Linked DNA regions of Lonchura striata. The protein of the gene in region 1 purifies or fractionates together with the protein of each later gene. This does not show direct contact. Links are inferred from orthologs where the notes say so. Each region holds a gene or a part of one and is shown in the gene's direction. Other genes may lie near its edges.

Evidence for each region.
Region 2: the proteins of ASIC1 (region 1) and PICK1 purify together in Homo sapiens (affinity purification with western blotting; 3 studies listed by BioGRID and IntAct, with this or other methods). This does not show direct contact. The link is inferred for Lonchura striata from reciprocal best matches to the Homo sapiens genes ASIC1 and PICK1.

What each region holds. Positions count from the first base shown.
Region 1 is NC_134629.1:8,787,314-8,795,024, forward strand, and holds the start of ASIC1 (acid-sensing ion channel 1), read left to right. Parts: upstream 1-4,505; 5' UTR 4,506-4,728; coding exon 4,729-5,352; intron 5,353-6,050; coding exon 6,051-6,201; intron 6,202-6,681; coding exon 6,682-6,809; intron 6,810-6,999; coding exon 7,000-7,150; intron 7,151-7,230; coding exon 7,231-7,287; intron 7,288-7,370; coding exon 7,371-7,524; intron 7,525-7,605; coding exon 7,606-7,697; intron 7,698-7,711. UniProt on the Homo sapiens protein: Forms voltage-independent, pH-gated trimeric sodium channels that act as postsynaptic excitatory receptors in the nervous system, playing a crucial role in regulating synaptic plasticity, learning, and memory.
Region 2 is NC_134607.1:23,619,044-23,626,893, forward strand, and holds the start of PICK1 (PRKCA-binding protein), read left to right. Parts: upstream 1-4,748; 5' UTR 4,749-4,795; intron 4,796-4,799; exon of another isoform or gene 4,800-4,903; intron 4,904-4,905; exon of another isoform or gene 4,906-4,989; intron 4,990-5,021; exon of another isoform or gene 5,022-5,132; intron 5,133-5,143; exon of another isoform or gene 5,144-5,419; intron 5,420-5,526; 5' UTR 5,527-5,577; coding exon 5,578-5,618; intron 5,619-6,184; coding exon 6,185-6,296; intron 6,297-6,759; coding exon 6,760-6,888; intron 6,889-7,011; coding exon 7,012-7,078; intron 7,079-7,850. UniProt on the Homo sapiens protein: Probable adapter protein that bind to and organize the subcellular localization of a variety of membrane proteins containing some PDZ recognition sequence.

The sequences.
Region 1 (7,711 bases):
GGAGCGAGCGAGCACAGCAAGGAAACCAGACCGGAACACCGTGGGCTTTTCCCCCGTCCAATAAAACCGCCGGCTCAAATCTGCCTGCATGAACTGTCTGAGCGATTGTGAAGGATGTCGGAAAAAATCGCAACCTGCTTGCGGGTGATTCGTGAGCGGCAGGAAACACGGGGAGGCGTCGGGATAAGGGTCCGCAGGAATAATCCCGGATGCGCGGGAATTAGCGACACCTCGGCAGCGTCCTCCGCGTCCTGGCAGAGTCCTGGTGACCCCTGCACGGCACACAGGGACACGGCCAGCGGGTAAATCACCGTGAAGCTCTCAGCAGTACAAACAGGTTCAATTATAGGAGCGTAAACAGATCCTGGGGAGGAGGATGCGGCGGCTGCGGAGCCGTCACGGCGGATCATCGCCAAGGCTCCAGGGACACGCTGGACTGCCCATGGAGCTGCCCTGGCTGAGCCCCCCAAGACCCTCACCCACGGAGCTGCAGGGGGGTCCCGGCTGAGCCCCCCGAGACCCCCGGCCAGCGTGGCTGCAGGTGGCCTCAGTCCCCGGGGCAGCAGCACCGACACCCAGCAGGGCTGGCTGGGAAGAGCTCGCCCAGGAAAGCTTCGAGAGATTAATAGAGTTTAAATGGAAGCGTTTGGAGAGGAGATAAGGCTCATCTGATATGAAATCATATGGAGCAACGGGATCCAGGGAGGCCCTGGCTCTCTAATGAAGTCCACTTAGCACATTACTCACTATAATGTGCTTTTTATTAAAGTCCTGTGCTGCAGGTGCTGAGTCTGCAGCTGGGAACACGGGGCTGCAATGGCACGGGCACCTGGAGTACCGGACCCCGCCACTTGAAGCAGCCGGGATGCAGCGTGAAAAAGGCACCTTCGCTTTCCTGTCTCCCGTCCCGTTTGATCCAGGGACGCGATTCTGGCATCACCCAGCGCCGCGGCATCACCGGTGCCCGCGGCTGGGGCTGGTGGCCCTGCAGGGACTGGGTGGAGAGGAGGCGGAGGTGGAGAATAATACAGAGGGAAAAACTCCTTTTTAATCATCAATTTTTCTGCATTAGAATGTGACATGCTAATCCACTGTGAAGCGTCTAATCTGGGGGATAAAGGGCCGGATAACACAAGCTGCGCCCGGCTTGGCTGGCAGAGCGAGCCGAGGCAAGGTGGCAGCATCTGATAAGGGGTGCAGGATTAGTCCCGGCACAGATCCCGCCTGCCCAGGCAATCCCACCTTGCTTGGCTGCCTCTGCTCTGTCTCTCGCCAGGGTCAGGGAGGGATCTGCAGCACTGGAGCTGTCCCAGAGCGGCTCATCCCGCCCGGAGCGGCGGTGGCAGCGCTGCCGGTGCCTCCAGCACCATCTTGGCAGCTCTGGGAGCTGCAAAGCACATCCCTGGGCCAAGACAACTGGAAAACCTCATTTTTCTCCCTTTCAGTTTGCACACCCGGGTGCGTGTGGGAGCAGGACAGCCCAGCTGTGGGGTCTCCATCTGCCCCAAATGTCCATTCCCATGCGCTGCTTTGGCTGCCTCATCCCACCGCTCATCCCATCCCTTCCTAGCAGCCAGCTCCGACCTCTGGAGCACCCCCAGGGACAACGTGGGCAGCTCAGCCTCGGCTCAGCCAGTCTTTGGCAGGGACGGGCAGTGCCCGTCACAAAACCGAGCGGGTCCAGCTCCCGGGGCGCTTTCGGCGACAGCATCCCCGGGGCTCGGAGACCTGGGATAACAGAGCTTGCAATGTTGTTTTCTCCTCGCCTCCTCGGGGATTGGTTTATCTCTATGAATAACTCCATCCCGGCTTTGATCTCCTCTGCCATTAAAGCGTGACAGGCTGTGAAATGTGCTGTTGCTGCCGTCAAATCCCGCTCCCGCTTCCCCCCCGCCGCCTCCGTGCTCCCCCGCTCCGGGAAACCTCCTTTCCCAGGCCCGTGAGGAGCTGCAGAGCAGCGAGCGGGGCCGAACCGCCCCGGGACAGTGGCCAAACACGGCGCTGGAGGCAGGAAAAACCCATCTCCTCCTCCCATCCCGCACCTCTCACTGGGGCGGGGAGGAGGGCACGGAGCATCCCCGGTCCCAGCGCCGGCTCGGGCGTGGCGGCATCACCCCAGCACCGCCACGGGGGCTGATGTCACGGCTAATTATAGCATCCCCCGTCCCTCGCCCCCGCCAAAGCTTTACCTGAGAGAGGGTAAAAATAACTCCCGGCGAGGGAGGAGCTGGAACGAGCCCAAGGACTCCTCCAGCATCTCCAAAACTCGCACAAACCAGGACGGCACCCCCCTGGCTGCAGCACACGGCTGCACTTTGTCCCCAGTCTGGGGGTCGGGACGCGCTCCCCTCGGCGCTGGTGCCGCCGTGCTCCGGGCTGCGGCTGTCCCCGGTCACCTTCACCCCGGCTCGGGTGTCGGCGCCGGGACAGGCGGCGGTAACCGGAGCCGGGCCCTGCTGCTGGGAACCAGCCCGGCGCACCCCGCGAGCTGTTGAAGCCGAGCGAAGCAGGTTAATGGCCCCAGTCGATGATGGAATGTTTTCATTACGGCATCTTTCTCGCTCTCTCCCTGCTGCAATCGCTCCCGAGAAGACACATTAAACCTCCCCGCGCCGAGGGAGCGGATCCGCCCCTCGCTCGCACCGTCAGGGACTGCCTGATGGCCTCGGCAGCTCCGCTCACCTGTGCGAGCCCTGCCGGGGCTCAACAACCCCCTCAACCTGCAGTTCCTCAATTCCTTTTCCCTTTTCCTCTGCCCTCAACAGCCGTGGCACAGGAACCCAGTGCCAGAGCTGGGAGCAGCAGAAATCCCAGCCCAAACCCGGAGAGCTCCTGCCTGCTCCTCCCTGTCCCAAGCATCCTCTGAGCCAGCTTGTGTGGGATCAGCCCAGTGTTCCCACAGGGCTGAGCCAGCCCAACTCTTCCAAAGCCCCTCCTGATGCTGTTACAGCCCTGCCCTGCAGCTGCAGCTCATCCCCACCGAAGACACAGGGCACCTGAGACCCGGCCCCATGTTCTGGTGGCTCCCAGCCACCCAATCCACCTTCCTGATTCTCTTTTCTAGGAAGAGTTTTCCTCTCAGATTCTCTGGGATGCTCCCAAAGGGTGTAACCTTGATCTTGGCCTGATGAAATTTCATCCCGTGCCTCTGGTACTCATCCCCAAGGTCATCCATTCTTTCCCCCAGGTCTCCAAGTGGCATCTGGCAGTGTCCCTCTTTCACAAGGGCCCGATTGAAGGGAACATTGAGCTCAGGGAGCCCCAGGATGGGACACCCCACTGTCACATCATGGATCACTGCCCCTGGCAGGGATCCCCAGCATGTTCCACTGGCACCACCTGCCCAGGAATCTCAGATAACTGTGCTGGTATCAGATCAGATTTTTACTGAGTTCCTGGCGGATTTGTTCTCCCAGTTTGTGGTGTCCACGTGCGCTGGGATGTGCTCAGGGTCCAGGAACTCTGCAGGGAAGGAGATGCAGCAGCTGAACTGAGGGCTTGGGGTGAACTTCTTCCACCCAGGCACCAGCCCAAAGCTCCCATCCAGCCCCTGCACTTCCAAGTGCTGCTGGATTTAGATTCTCCCCCGGTGCCGGGATGGGGCTGGAGATTGCTCTGTGGTCTCTGGATGCTTTTATGAAGTGCTGAGTACAGGAAAGCAGCAAACCACGAGAAGGGGCTGTGCTGTGCAGAGAGGAGACGCCTGCACTCCCAGCAGCTCCATCCCAGCGTCCTGCACCAGAGCTGCTCCCTGGGACCCCCCAGCCTGGCTGGTTCAGCAGCACGGGGCCTGGAGGCCATTCCTTGAGGGAAGAGGGGCTCCCCATGCCCCACTGGGATCCAAAGCATGAGGCGACGTGCCCAGCACTGACTGGGCTCTGCAGAAGGACTCGTTGCCTGGACAGCACCCAAACCCTGTGAAGACCAGCCCTGCTGGGAGGAGGACAGACCTCACACCACTGGGAACGCCGCATTTGCTGGATTCTCACATGCACACGCCGGTGCCCTGCGGCACAGGGGGACGAGCCTGCAGGGATGGGCACTGCCAGGGCAGGAGGAGCATCGTAGGAGCCTGAGGACACCACAGCATCCTTCCCCCCACGCGGACCACCGCTGAACCAGGACAGTGTCACGGGCATTTGGGGAAAACCTCTGGCTCCAGCTGCCCTGGGGATGACTGCAGAGAGCCTGGCATACGGCGGCTCTGGAGACAGCCGGGACCCAGCAGGGAGGGCCTGGCTGGAGCAGCCGCTTGGGCTGCCAGGGCCAGACCACTCAAGGATGGAGGGCACGGCATGGGGATGCAGCGCCGGGTACCTGCCCGCCGGCACACACCGTGTGCCCCTCGGGCGCCCAGGCAGCACTGGGAGCTCCCACGGTGCTTCTGGAGCCGGTGATGTCCCTGCTCCCTCCTGGCAGCCGGAGCCGGCCGGTCCCGAGGGGCCTGGGGAGCCCGCGGAACCGCCCCTCGCTCCTCCTCCCCTCCTGCTCCTGATATACCCTCCTCGCTCCGGCCCCTCCGAGCATCCCTCTGCTCCTCTCCCTCACTCCCGCTCGCCTTTCCCTTCTCCGTTTCTCCTCTCTCAACTTGCCCCTTCCCCCTCCCCTGCTCTCCTCAGCCCCTCTCCACCGAGGAACTGACTGAAGACCCCAGGCTGGGGCAGGGCGCGGGCCAAGACCCCCACACCAGAGCCAGGACCTCCACAGCTGGGACCCCCAGGCTGGGCAATGCCTCTCCAGATATTCTGCACCATCTCCTTCTCCAGCGAGGAAGCACCAGAAGATGCTGCAGCCACTGCGAAGGGAGAAGATGAAGCAGACGAGTTCCTGTATGGGCAGGAGGAGGATGAAGAGGACGAGGAGGACGCAGGAGCAGCCACGGACTTCGTGGCCTTTGCCAGCAGCTGCACCCTGCATGGGCTGAGCCACATCTTCGTGGAAGGCAGCCTGGGTGCCCGGCAGGCACTGTGGGCGCTGGCATTCCTCCTCTCCCTCTCCGTCTTCCTCTACCAGGTGGCCGACCGCATCGCCTACTACCTGGAGTACCACCACGTCACGCTGCTCAGCGAGGAGGACAGCCCCGAGATGACCTTCCCCGCAGTCACCTTCTGCAACATCAACCGTGTGCGGCTCTCGCAGCTCAGCCACGAGGACTTGCTCTACCTGGCCCCTCTGGTGGACTATGAGCCTGGGATGGAGCTGGGCTTCACCCCGGCCCAGCCCGGCCCCTGGGAGGAGGACGAGCCCCTAAATTTGTACGGGTTTTTTAACCGCACTTGCCACCAGCTGGAGGACATGCTGCTGAGCTGCAGCTACCGCGGCCAGCGCTGCGGCCCCGGGGACTTTGCGCCGGTGAGTAGCCCCAGGGTGGCCCGGCACGGGGAGCAGCTCCGGCGCTGATCGGTGCCAGATCAGGCAGGTGATGCTGCCCTTGGAGCTTGCTCAGGGACAGGCTGATATTTCAGCCCCATCTGCCAGAGCTGGGGACGGCACCGGCTGTGGAGATGCTCTGGTGGGACATGGAGCGTATCCCCGGGGCTGTGCTTGCTGAGGAAGTGCCTGGCACCTCCATCCTGCTGCCATCAGGGCTTGTGGGGCACCATGTGGTGCGAGCCCACTGCCCTCACATGTCCCTTGCCCAGGCTGGCAGCAGCTCCGTGGTTTTGGGGCCGTGCTGACTGCCGGAGGTGAGAGCTGGAACGGCTGAGCAGGGATGGGGGGGTCCAGGATCCTGTCCAGCCCCATCCTTTGCAGGGATGGAGGAGGGCTTGGAGAAGGGCGTCAGGCTGAGTGCCACCACCCTGGGGAGCCACAGCTGCCGTGGGCTCTCTGTAAATCCCTTCTGAGTCCATCCCTGTGGGAACATCTCCTCCTCCACCAGGGCCAAGATGAGCAGTTCCAACACTGAGAGATGCTGTGGGTCAGGAGCCTGGGTCGGACCATGCCCAGGCTGGGATGGCTGAGTTTTGGGGTTGGGGACGCTCTCCTGGCTCTGTGCTGTGGCTGCACACAGAGGGGCCTCAGCCTCAGCCCTGTGTCCTCTCCTGCAGGTCTTCACCCGCTATGGGAAGTGCTACACCTTCAATGCGGGGCAGGACGGGAAGCCCCGGCTCATCACCATGAAGGGGGGCACTGGCAACGGCCTGGAGATCATGCTGGACATCCAGCAGGACGAGTACCTGCCAGTGTGGGGGGAAACAGGTAACCCACTGCCCCAGTGGGCCCACTCAGCCACCAGCAGCTCCTGGGGTGCTGCCCAGCCCCTACTCACCTCCCCAGCCCCTTCCCAGCTCCCCAGACCACAGATCCACCTCCCTGAAGCTCCCTTCTCTCCCTCCTTCCATTTCTCATCACTTCTGGTCTTTTCTTTCCCTTTTCCTCTTTGTCTTTGCTCTTTGCCATGGCAACTCCCCATCATTTAGACACGCAGCCATCACTTGTTTATAAATAGAGTCAAATACTTTCCCTGCCACGCTCCTGGGTGTGGAGCAGGGGGGTCGGGGCGGAGCGGGCAAGGACATGGTGCAGCAAACAGAGGGACAGATGGATGGCCATGTGGATGAATGACTTGGCCCAGGGGAAGCTTGGGAGGCAGAAGTTGTGGTCCCTCTCACGGCAGGCTCAGCACAGCCCCTTAGAGCAGGGACAGTGCTGTGCTCACCTCCCTTCTCTCTGCCACAGATGAGACCTCGTTCGAAGCTGGGATCAAGGTGCAGATCCACAGCCAGGACGAGCCCCCGCTGATCGACCAGCTGGGCTTCGGGGTGGCTCCCGGCTTCCAGACCTTCGTGTCCTGCCAGGAGCAACGGGTAGGAACTGGGCAGGTGTGGGACGTCCCTCCCAGCCTGAGTTGCAGGAGCAGAGTCTCCTCACTGTGCCCCTGTCCCCATGCCGATGGAGGGGAGGACCCGGTCCTGGGGAGCAGTGCCACGAGGGTCTCTGTCCCCTGCCACACTGAGGGGGGTTCTCTCCTCACTCCTGGCTTCTTTCCCCTTGCAGCTCATCTACCTGCCGCCTCCCTGGGGCGACTGCAAGGCCGTGGCGGGCGACTCGGAGTTCTACGACACCTACAGCATCACGGCCTGCCGGATCGACTGCGAGACCCGCTACCTGGTGGAGAACTGCAACTGCCGCATGGTGCACATGCCAGGTGAGCCCCGTGCCTGGCCTGGCCCCGACCCAGCCCTCCGGTGTGCTCCCACCTGCAAAACGTGCTCTGTGTCTCCCCAGGCGATGCCCCTTACTGCACCCCGGAGCAGTACAAGGAGTGCGCGGACCCGGCCTTAGGTGAGGCTGCCCGGCCCCGTGGGTGGGACGGAGCCGCGGTGTTGGGTTTCTCCATCTCGTCATCCCCCTCTCTCCCCGCACAGATTTCCTGGTGGAGAAGGACAATGAATACTGCATCTGTGAGATGCCCTGCAACATGACCCGCTACGGCAAAGAGCTCTCCATGGTCAAGATCCCCAGCAAGGCCTCGGCCAAGTACCTGGCCAAGAAGTACAACAAGTCGGAGCAGTACATTGGGTAAGGTGCTGCGGGGTGATGGGGCCGGGTCTGGTGCTTCCATCCCAAACCTCAGCCTGATGCCACTTCTCTCCTGCACAGGGAGAACATCCTGGTGCTGGATATCTTCTTTGAAGCCCTGAACTATGAGACGATCGAGCAGAAGAAAGCGTACGAGGTGGCGGGTTTGCTGGGTGAGTGTTGGTGG
Region 2 (7,850 bases), on another chromosome or scaffold:
AGAGGGAGGGCCTGCTGTGGAGGTTCCTGCCCCAGTCTCCAGCTCTAATGAAGATGTGAAGCACAGAAGAAGGACCTGTTGTGAAAAGAAATATGCTAATGAGGCAGCCAAAGAAGTATTGAGTGGTACAAGGCTTCCTTCATGATTGTGCTGAGCTCTGCTGACCCACCTCCACTGGACAAGGCTTTGTAAACCTTCAATTCTGTATCATCATGCCCACAGATTGTCCAGCATACTTCCCCTGCCCAAGCACACCTACAGAAAACCTACTACTCCTCTGCATGTCTTCAGGGCCGTGACAGGTGTAGTGGCCACCTCAGATCTAGCAAAAGAAAATCAATCAATCAATCAATCAATCAATCAATCAATCAAACAAACAAACAAACAAAAACAAACAAAAAATTTTCCAGAAGTCTCAATATATCCAGCCCTGGGCTTGCACACCCACAAGATCAATACAAAGTTTCTGCCCTCCCTGGTGTGAACCTATTGCCTCCACTTGGACTAAGCCAAATGACTCAGGCCTGATGCAGGACTTTCCTCATTAAACATCTGTAGAAGGGCAGAAGGAGGTCTCAGTGATGGGGTGAATCCCATGGAGCACAGTGGATGGACAGGAGCTGGCTGCGACAAGGTGATGTTGCTCTTGTCTGCACAGAAGGACAATGGAGGATACACCCAGTGACAGACAGGAGTCACAAAATGGAGAAGTCCTTTTTCTTTATTTCTCTTTCTGCTTTCTGGCACTCTGCAAACTTTATGACAAAGATTGATAAATAGCCAGAAATTATCTCGAGCAATCCAGACTCTGCTTCCTCCTCCTTACCCTGAGTGGGGAAGCTGCCTTCCTCCCACGCATGAGCAAGAAGGGCTGGGGCCACCCGGGGAAGGGCATGACGGGTAAAGCAGTGCCCCCAAACAATTAAGTACTGTCCCAGGCACTGCACACCCTTGTCCTGGGAACAAAAGAGTCACACACAAGAGACCTGACTGTGAAGCCTCCATCCGCTTTCATCACTGACCCCCAGGGCAGGCAGGGCACAAGGTCAGCCCACTTAAACTCCAAACTCGGCCAGAAATAGAGCTGGGAAGTGGGCAAGGGTGGCCAACTGCAGGGGTCCCCAAGCATTTGAGGGGTTCTTTGACTGAGCCATTTCATTTCATCAAAGACACATTTTTTTTCTGGAAGGAAAATGGAGAGCAGTGGGTGTGAAAGGAGTAAGGGGGAGGCAGGGTGTTCACCATGAGTTATGACCACTCTCAACAACAGTCTTTTACATTGCAGAGGTGAGGAGAGGATGGGGTAATTGGGCATGTTAGACCCATGCATAATGAGAGCAAGTCTCTGCCTGTTTCCCACCCCTCACTCTGCTACTGCTCATGAGATGTAGTCCCCCATATGCCCTGTCACTATTCTGCTGTGGAGCTCAACATCCCAAGGGCTCATCCCAAGGACCACAAGCTTTGATAGCACCTTGCCAGACCAGTAGTGCCCCTGGGCTGTGCAATAGAGTGTAGTCATGCCCCTGGATTGGAAAGGATAAAAGTATAGCCTTACAAAGCAAAACTTAGCAGCCAAGTCAGAGCTCATGCTTTCCACCTGCAGGGTCTCAGAAAACCCATGAGGTTTTAAGTTGCCTTTAAGGTTTTTCATGTTGCGAGTACTGATTTTGGGAGTAATGCTTTCATAGAAGTAACAGCTGCACCAGATGCCCCTGAGACCTATCTCCTTGTCTGGGAGAAGAAATCTGTGGGGATGAAGTCCAGGGGCACTGAAACATGTTTGGTGTATGTGGAAATACAATGCACCTACTATGGAGCATTGTCCATTTCCCCCAGCTTCCCTCTGGATAAACCTTGGAGAATCCTAAATGAAGGGAACTTCAGAGGAAGAACAATGAAAACACCCAGTGAAAGCAGTCCCCTATTCCACCCCAACAGGGCCATGTCCTAGCTGCCCCTATAGAGGCTGCTGCAAGTCTTGGCAACACCCAGCAGGAATGGGGTAGGGATAGGGCAGGCTGTGCAGTGATGGGCAGAGAATACAACCTCAACACTTACTCACTGAAAGTTCCCCCAAAAACAGACAACGTGGCTCAAGGGACAGCAATCAAGGAGGATGTTAGTCCAGAGTTAGTCATGTTGACACTGAAAACAGTAGCAGAAAAGCAGCCAGAAACATGAGATTCAGCACAGCTCCAGTACGCAGAAATACATCTGAGTGCCAAGAAACTAACCAGTCATGCAATGTGTGATCTGCTAGCAGACTCTTTATTACACCTAACGAAAGACAAGCAGAACGGAGTTTTGACTCTCAGAGTCAAACTTTTCATGGATTGTATACTTGGGGGTTAGAAAAATCTAATGTGCAAACTAAGCCATCTTGATTAAAGCCATATTGGTAGACTGCAGTGCACGCAATTTTCAAGAGAAAGCTGCATTTCAAATTTTTGATACAATTAATCAGATCTATTCTTGAAAATGAACAGCTTCCTGGGATTTTTTAAAAATGCTGGCTAACCTTACTTTTTTGGATTTTAGGCAACCATTTTCATTAGCAATTCATTACTTCTCCCCTTGGGAGGAAGCAATCAGGCAATGGATTTCTACTATTGAGACAGACATGGCTTTAGGGCACATGCAGATTCATTCTCCATGTCACACAGAGAGAATCCAATCGATCTTGGACACTTTGTGGCAGCTGTGCACAAAAGGCAGGGTCAGCCCGCATACGTGTACAAAGGCTGATGCTTCAGGGATGTACTGAAGGACACGCACAATGCGCACACTTCGCTGGAGCAGCAAAAAACAAGGCTCATCAGACCTACAGGTTTTGGCCTTGTCAGTGTTTTCCACCTCGGGTGAGTTCTGCTTATTGTCTTTATTTTGAACGGCAGAAGATGCCAGCAAAGGAAACATTCACTGCTTGTTCATCTCTCTTGCAGCTCTAGTAGCAGAAGCAGACAGCAGGAGAAATGAGGTCCTGCAACTTCTTTTAAACAGTCTGATGCCCAGACAATCCACAAGGCTCTGAGAAATCCCCTTTGGCGCAATGAAAGGATTCACATTATGCAGGTGTTCTGTGTGTGAAAAACCTGTGTGGAAAACCTCTTTTTCCCCCTTTTGCAGTAAAATAGGATAAATATCCCACCTCCGCACACCCTGAATCCAGGCCCCCTCCTGCAGCAGGACCACACGGTGGCGCTCCAAATTTAGAAATAGAGCCTGGCCGGGGGCGACCCTGCCACCCCCGGGGGCGACAGCGCGGGGACAGCGCGGGACACACGGCCCCGACCCTGCCACCCCCAGCGGCGACAGCGCGGGGACAGCGCGGGACACACGGCCCCGACCCTGCCAACCCCCGGGGCCTCTCTCAGGACCGCAGCATCACAGAATCTGTCCTGCTAATTGCCACTGTCTCCAGGGATGGATGTTCCACCACCTCTCTGGGCTGATGTAGCAGTGCTTACCCACCCTCACAGTGATTTTTATTCCTTTCCTTGCACTGTAATTCCATCCTACAACTTGCAAGCCATTCCTCCTGTCTTTAGCTGTGCAAAACCGCTCAGAACAGTCTGGGTCTGTCTTGTCTGTATCACCTGCAGCCACAGTCAAGTGCTGCTGTACTGCTGAGCCCCAGCAAGCTCTTCATGCAGGGATCAGGGTCTGGCTCATCAATTCGGGAGCTTCACTGATGTAAAGCTCCTGTCAGTGGCCAGGGTCAGGATGTCAGTCTCTTTTCTTCAGAGCTCCCACCTGAAGGACTGCATTTCTCATTCAGCTTCCCCTCATAAATAAATCTCATCTTAGACCCAGGACTATAAAATGATTATTAACAACGCACTCTTGCCCCTTGTAGTCCAGCATTGTGGGTGGCTTCAGTCAGTGTTTTGATGTATGCAGACAAGAGGCTCAAGGGGCTGCATACCACAAACACTAACCAGCCTCTCAGCCAGCAGGAGAGGTCACTGCCATGGCCAGCCCTTGCTCCTACTCACGGAGGAGTTTTCAGTTCAAAGAATACAATGTTGGGGTTGTGGGGTTTTTTTTGATCTGTGTCAGTAAGTTGGGGTTGGAAGCCTGGTATTGCTCAGAAGCCAGGAGCAATTGGAAAAGATGATCCATAATGCAACAAGGCAACCGCAATTCTCTGGGAAATCAAAGCATTCTCCCAGAGCTGGTGTCACGATGGAGGCAGGAAAACCATTTGAACAGCCAACCAGTGCCCCCACATAGATCGCAGAGGAGAAGAACATGTGGAAGCCCGGCGATCCTGCACACACGGCGGTGCAGGGGGTTTGCACACAGCATGCTGACAGGCTCCCACATCCGCTGGCATCCGATGCTTCCTCAGGTCACTGCCGATTGTGATCGTGCCACGCAATTTCACAGAATCACCGAATCAATTAGGTTGGAGAACACCTCCGAGACCACGGAGTCCAACTGAACACCACCACGTCAACCAGACCGCCACACCGAGTGCCGTGTCCAGTCTCCTTAAACACCTGCAGGGACGGTGACTCCACCAGCTCCCTGGGCAGCCCATTACGATATCTAACCATCCCTCCCGTGAAGAAATTCCTCCTGACGTCCCACCCAAACCTCCCCCGGTGCAGCTGGGCGAAGAGCCCGCTCCGCACGCGGCAGGGGGGGTTTCAGAGAGCGGCCCTGAGCCCGCGCTCGGCCAGGCCCGGCCGCCCGGTGCCCGTGGCAACGCGGCGGGCGGGGCGGCGCTTCCGGGCGGCGCCGGCGCTGACGCGGCGGGCGGGGGCTGACGGCGCCGCGGCCGCTCCCGGTGAGCCTGGGGCCCGCAGGGCCGCCCCCGCGGCTGCCCCCAGCCCTGCCCTGCCCTGCCCGCAGCCCCTGCCCGGCCCCGGCACGCTGAGCTGTCGGTGAAGCCCCGGTCCGTCAGGGTCGGGCGTGGTGGAGGCGACCACCCTCACGGCGTCACCGTGGCTTGGGTGCTGGGAGGGTGGGCGGAAGCCAAAGGTGCCAGCTAATTAGTGCCCGAAAGTAAATGGAGGCGAGGTTTGTGCATGGGGCAGTGAGGAGGCTCGCTGAGCACGGCCTGCCGAGACAGGCGGTGAATGTCAGGGAGTGACGTGACTTGCTGTGAAGGCCAGGACACGGAGGTGTGCGATGGATGTCGGGGATAAAAATGAGTGTCTTTAGCAGCTGTGGTGCAAGGTCGAGCGTGCGGAGGAGCAGCTTCGGGAAGGGAACACGTTTTGTTGTGTGCTTTGGAAATGGTGCACGTGTGTCAGTCTTGGGTTTGGGACGTGCAGCATTCAAACTCGAGGACTTTATCCTGTTGCATGCACAGCAGAGAACCAGGAACACTTCACTCGTTTTTCATCTTTTGATATAAGAGCAGAGATGACAATGTGGCATTCCAAAAAGAAAAAGGAGACTGATAAAGGTCACAGGCTTGTTCTCTGGTGTTTTGTTTTGTTGTTTTTTTTTTTTTTTTTTTTTCCCCTATTGCAGTCATTCTTTTATTTGGTTTATTCTGTTCTTTCTTCCCAGGGAGTTTGGAATAAACAGCTTCAGACAAACAGATTCCACTGAACCAAAACAATGTTTGCAGATTTGGACTATGATATTGAGGAAGATAAGCTGTGAGTATTTCTCTTGTCTTTTCCTGGTGTTTCTTATAATAGAATTTAGCTTCGCAGCCAAGACCTAATGAAAGTTGATAAATTTACCTGTGTATGACACTGTGTGCTGAACATCAGCCTTCCTGTTCCATACTGATTTCTTGCTCCCTCTGGAGAGTGGGGATGAGGCATTGCTGTGCTGGTGAGCAGAGGAGAATAGTTGTATTGCTCTGCAGTGACTGCCTTGCATTTAACATAGAGCACTTGATTTGCATCACATTTATGCTGTGCAAGTTGTCCTCTCACTCCAGCACTAAGTGCAGGTGAAACACTAAAGCATGATAGTGTTTCCTCAGTGCCTAGCAATGGATGAGGGTGTCTCTTCCACCTGTAATCCTTGCATGCAATCCCAAGAAAAAGATGGCACAGAAAGTCTCCTGGGCTGGCCCAGCTCTGTGGCAGAAGTGAAGGAATGAATTCAGATGTGCAATGTCCATGATGTTCTCCATTTATACTGACTCAGATACCAGAGTTGTTTCATATGCGGGCAGCTCTGCCTATGTTCAGTTATTCCTTTCTCTTTGTAGGGGTATCCCCACTGTACCTGGGACAGTGACCCTGAAGAAGGACTCTCAGAATCTGATTGGGATCAGCATTGGAGGAGGAGCACAGTACTGCCCCTGTCTCTACATTGTCCAGGTGGGCACCTGGGGAGGATAAATAAGCCATCTTTTTAAAACAGTGTTGGCCTGAGAGATGAGAAGTGTGGAAAGAGAGCCCTATGCTTTTTGTGGGAGATGACATCTCACTTTCCAGTGAAAAATTTTCCTTACTCTAGTAGCTACTAGGTGTGGAAGAATTAAATTAAGACTTCTAGAATAGTCCTTCTCCTTGGAGAGCATGTTAGAATTCACAGGGGAACAGTGTGACACTCCCACTGCCAGGAAATCCTATGCTGGAGGAGGCACATCTTAGGGGCAAGAACTTCCTGAGGGAACAAGATGATCAGCCCACCTCTTGGTTAGGGAAGGGGGAAGACTGCAGCTTCACCATGGACAAAGCAGAAGTGAATTAAGTGGGAGGAATGCAGCTGTTTGGTTTGTGCTCTGTAGCTCTGCGTGGGCCCTGCTCCTGCCTGCAGACTGCCTGTGCTCTCTCGCAGGTGTTCGATAACACTCCAGCAGCCTTAGACGGCACCGTAGCAGCTGGGGATGAAATCACTGGGGTCAACGGGAAATCCGTCAAAGGGAAGACCAAAGTGGAGGTGGCCAAGATGATACAGATGGTAAAGGTGAGAGGTAGGAGGGGACCACTGGAGCTTCTGGGTCTTAGTTGGCAGCTTATTGTCCTTGGGTAAAGGGAGCCGCTGCTGCCTGCTTCCAGCACAGCAGTTTGGGGTTTGCTCTTTCTGCAGGGAGAAGTGACAATACACTACAACAAGCTTCAGGCTGACCCAAAGCAGGGCAAGTCTTTGGATATTGGTAAGACTGGTTTCTTTCTCCCTAGAGTGTTAAAATGATGCAGGAAGGGTCCAAAATTGGTCCCAGCCAAAACCAAATCTGTTTCCTTTCTTGCTCTTAGTTCAGTCATTTTCAATTGGATACTGTCAAAGAGAGTTACAGGTTCTAAAAAAAAAAATCCTTCCGTGACATTTTGAAATAGGCTTGAAAGTTGAATCAAGACTTAATTGTTGTTGTGAGAGGCTTGTTTTTCTGTGCTGTGTTTACCATGGATGATGAATCTCAACTGCATAATAATTTAATTAATTTATTTTTACTACGTGCAAGTTAGGCTGACCTATTTTAAGATGTACACAGAAACGTGTTGACTGAAAGGCTTTGGTGGTTATTTCTAACCATGGAGAGCAGTTATGAAATACCTATCTACACGGAGTTTTGTACAAACATAAATTTTATGGGAGACAGGAGAGCTTTTATTACTAAAACAAAGTGTCTGGTTTTGAGCTAAGCCTACACAGCTGTCTCCTTTATATGGTCTGCCTTTCTCACTTTCAGCAAAATGTATCCATTCTCTGCTGTAATTTCTTTTCTTGGTGATTATGGTGCTAATAAATTGACAGGAGTTCTGGAAAATTGTGAATAGTGAGATGGATTTCTGGGAAAACAGAAGTATGATCAGAATATGGTATTTTCCAGAACACTGTGGCTTCAGCTGAGTTCTTGGGATCTGCAGGCAAATTTGCCTGCAAATAAAGGTGACTGAGTCATCTGGCTCCAAGGAGGGCATAGATGT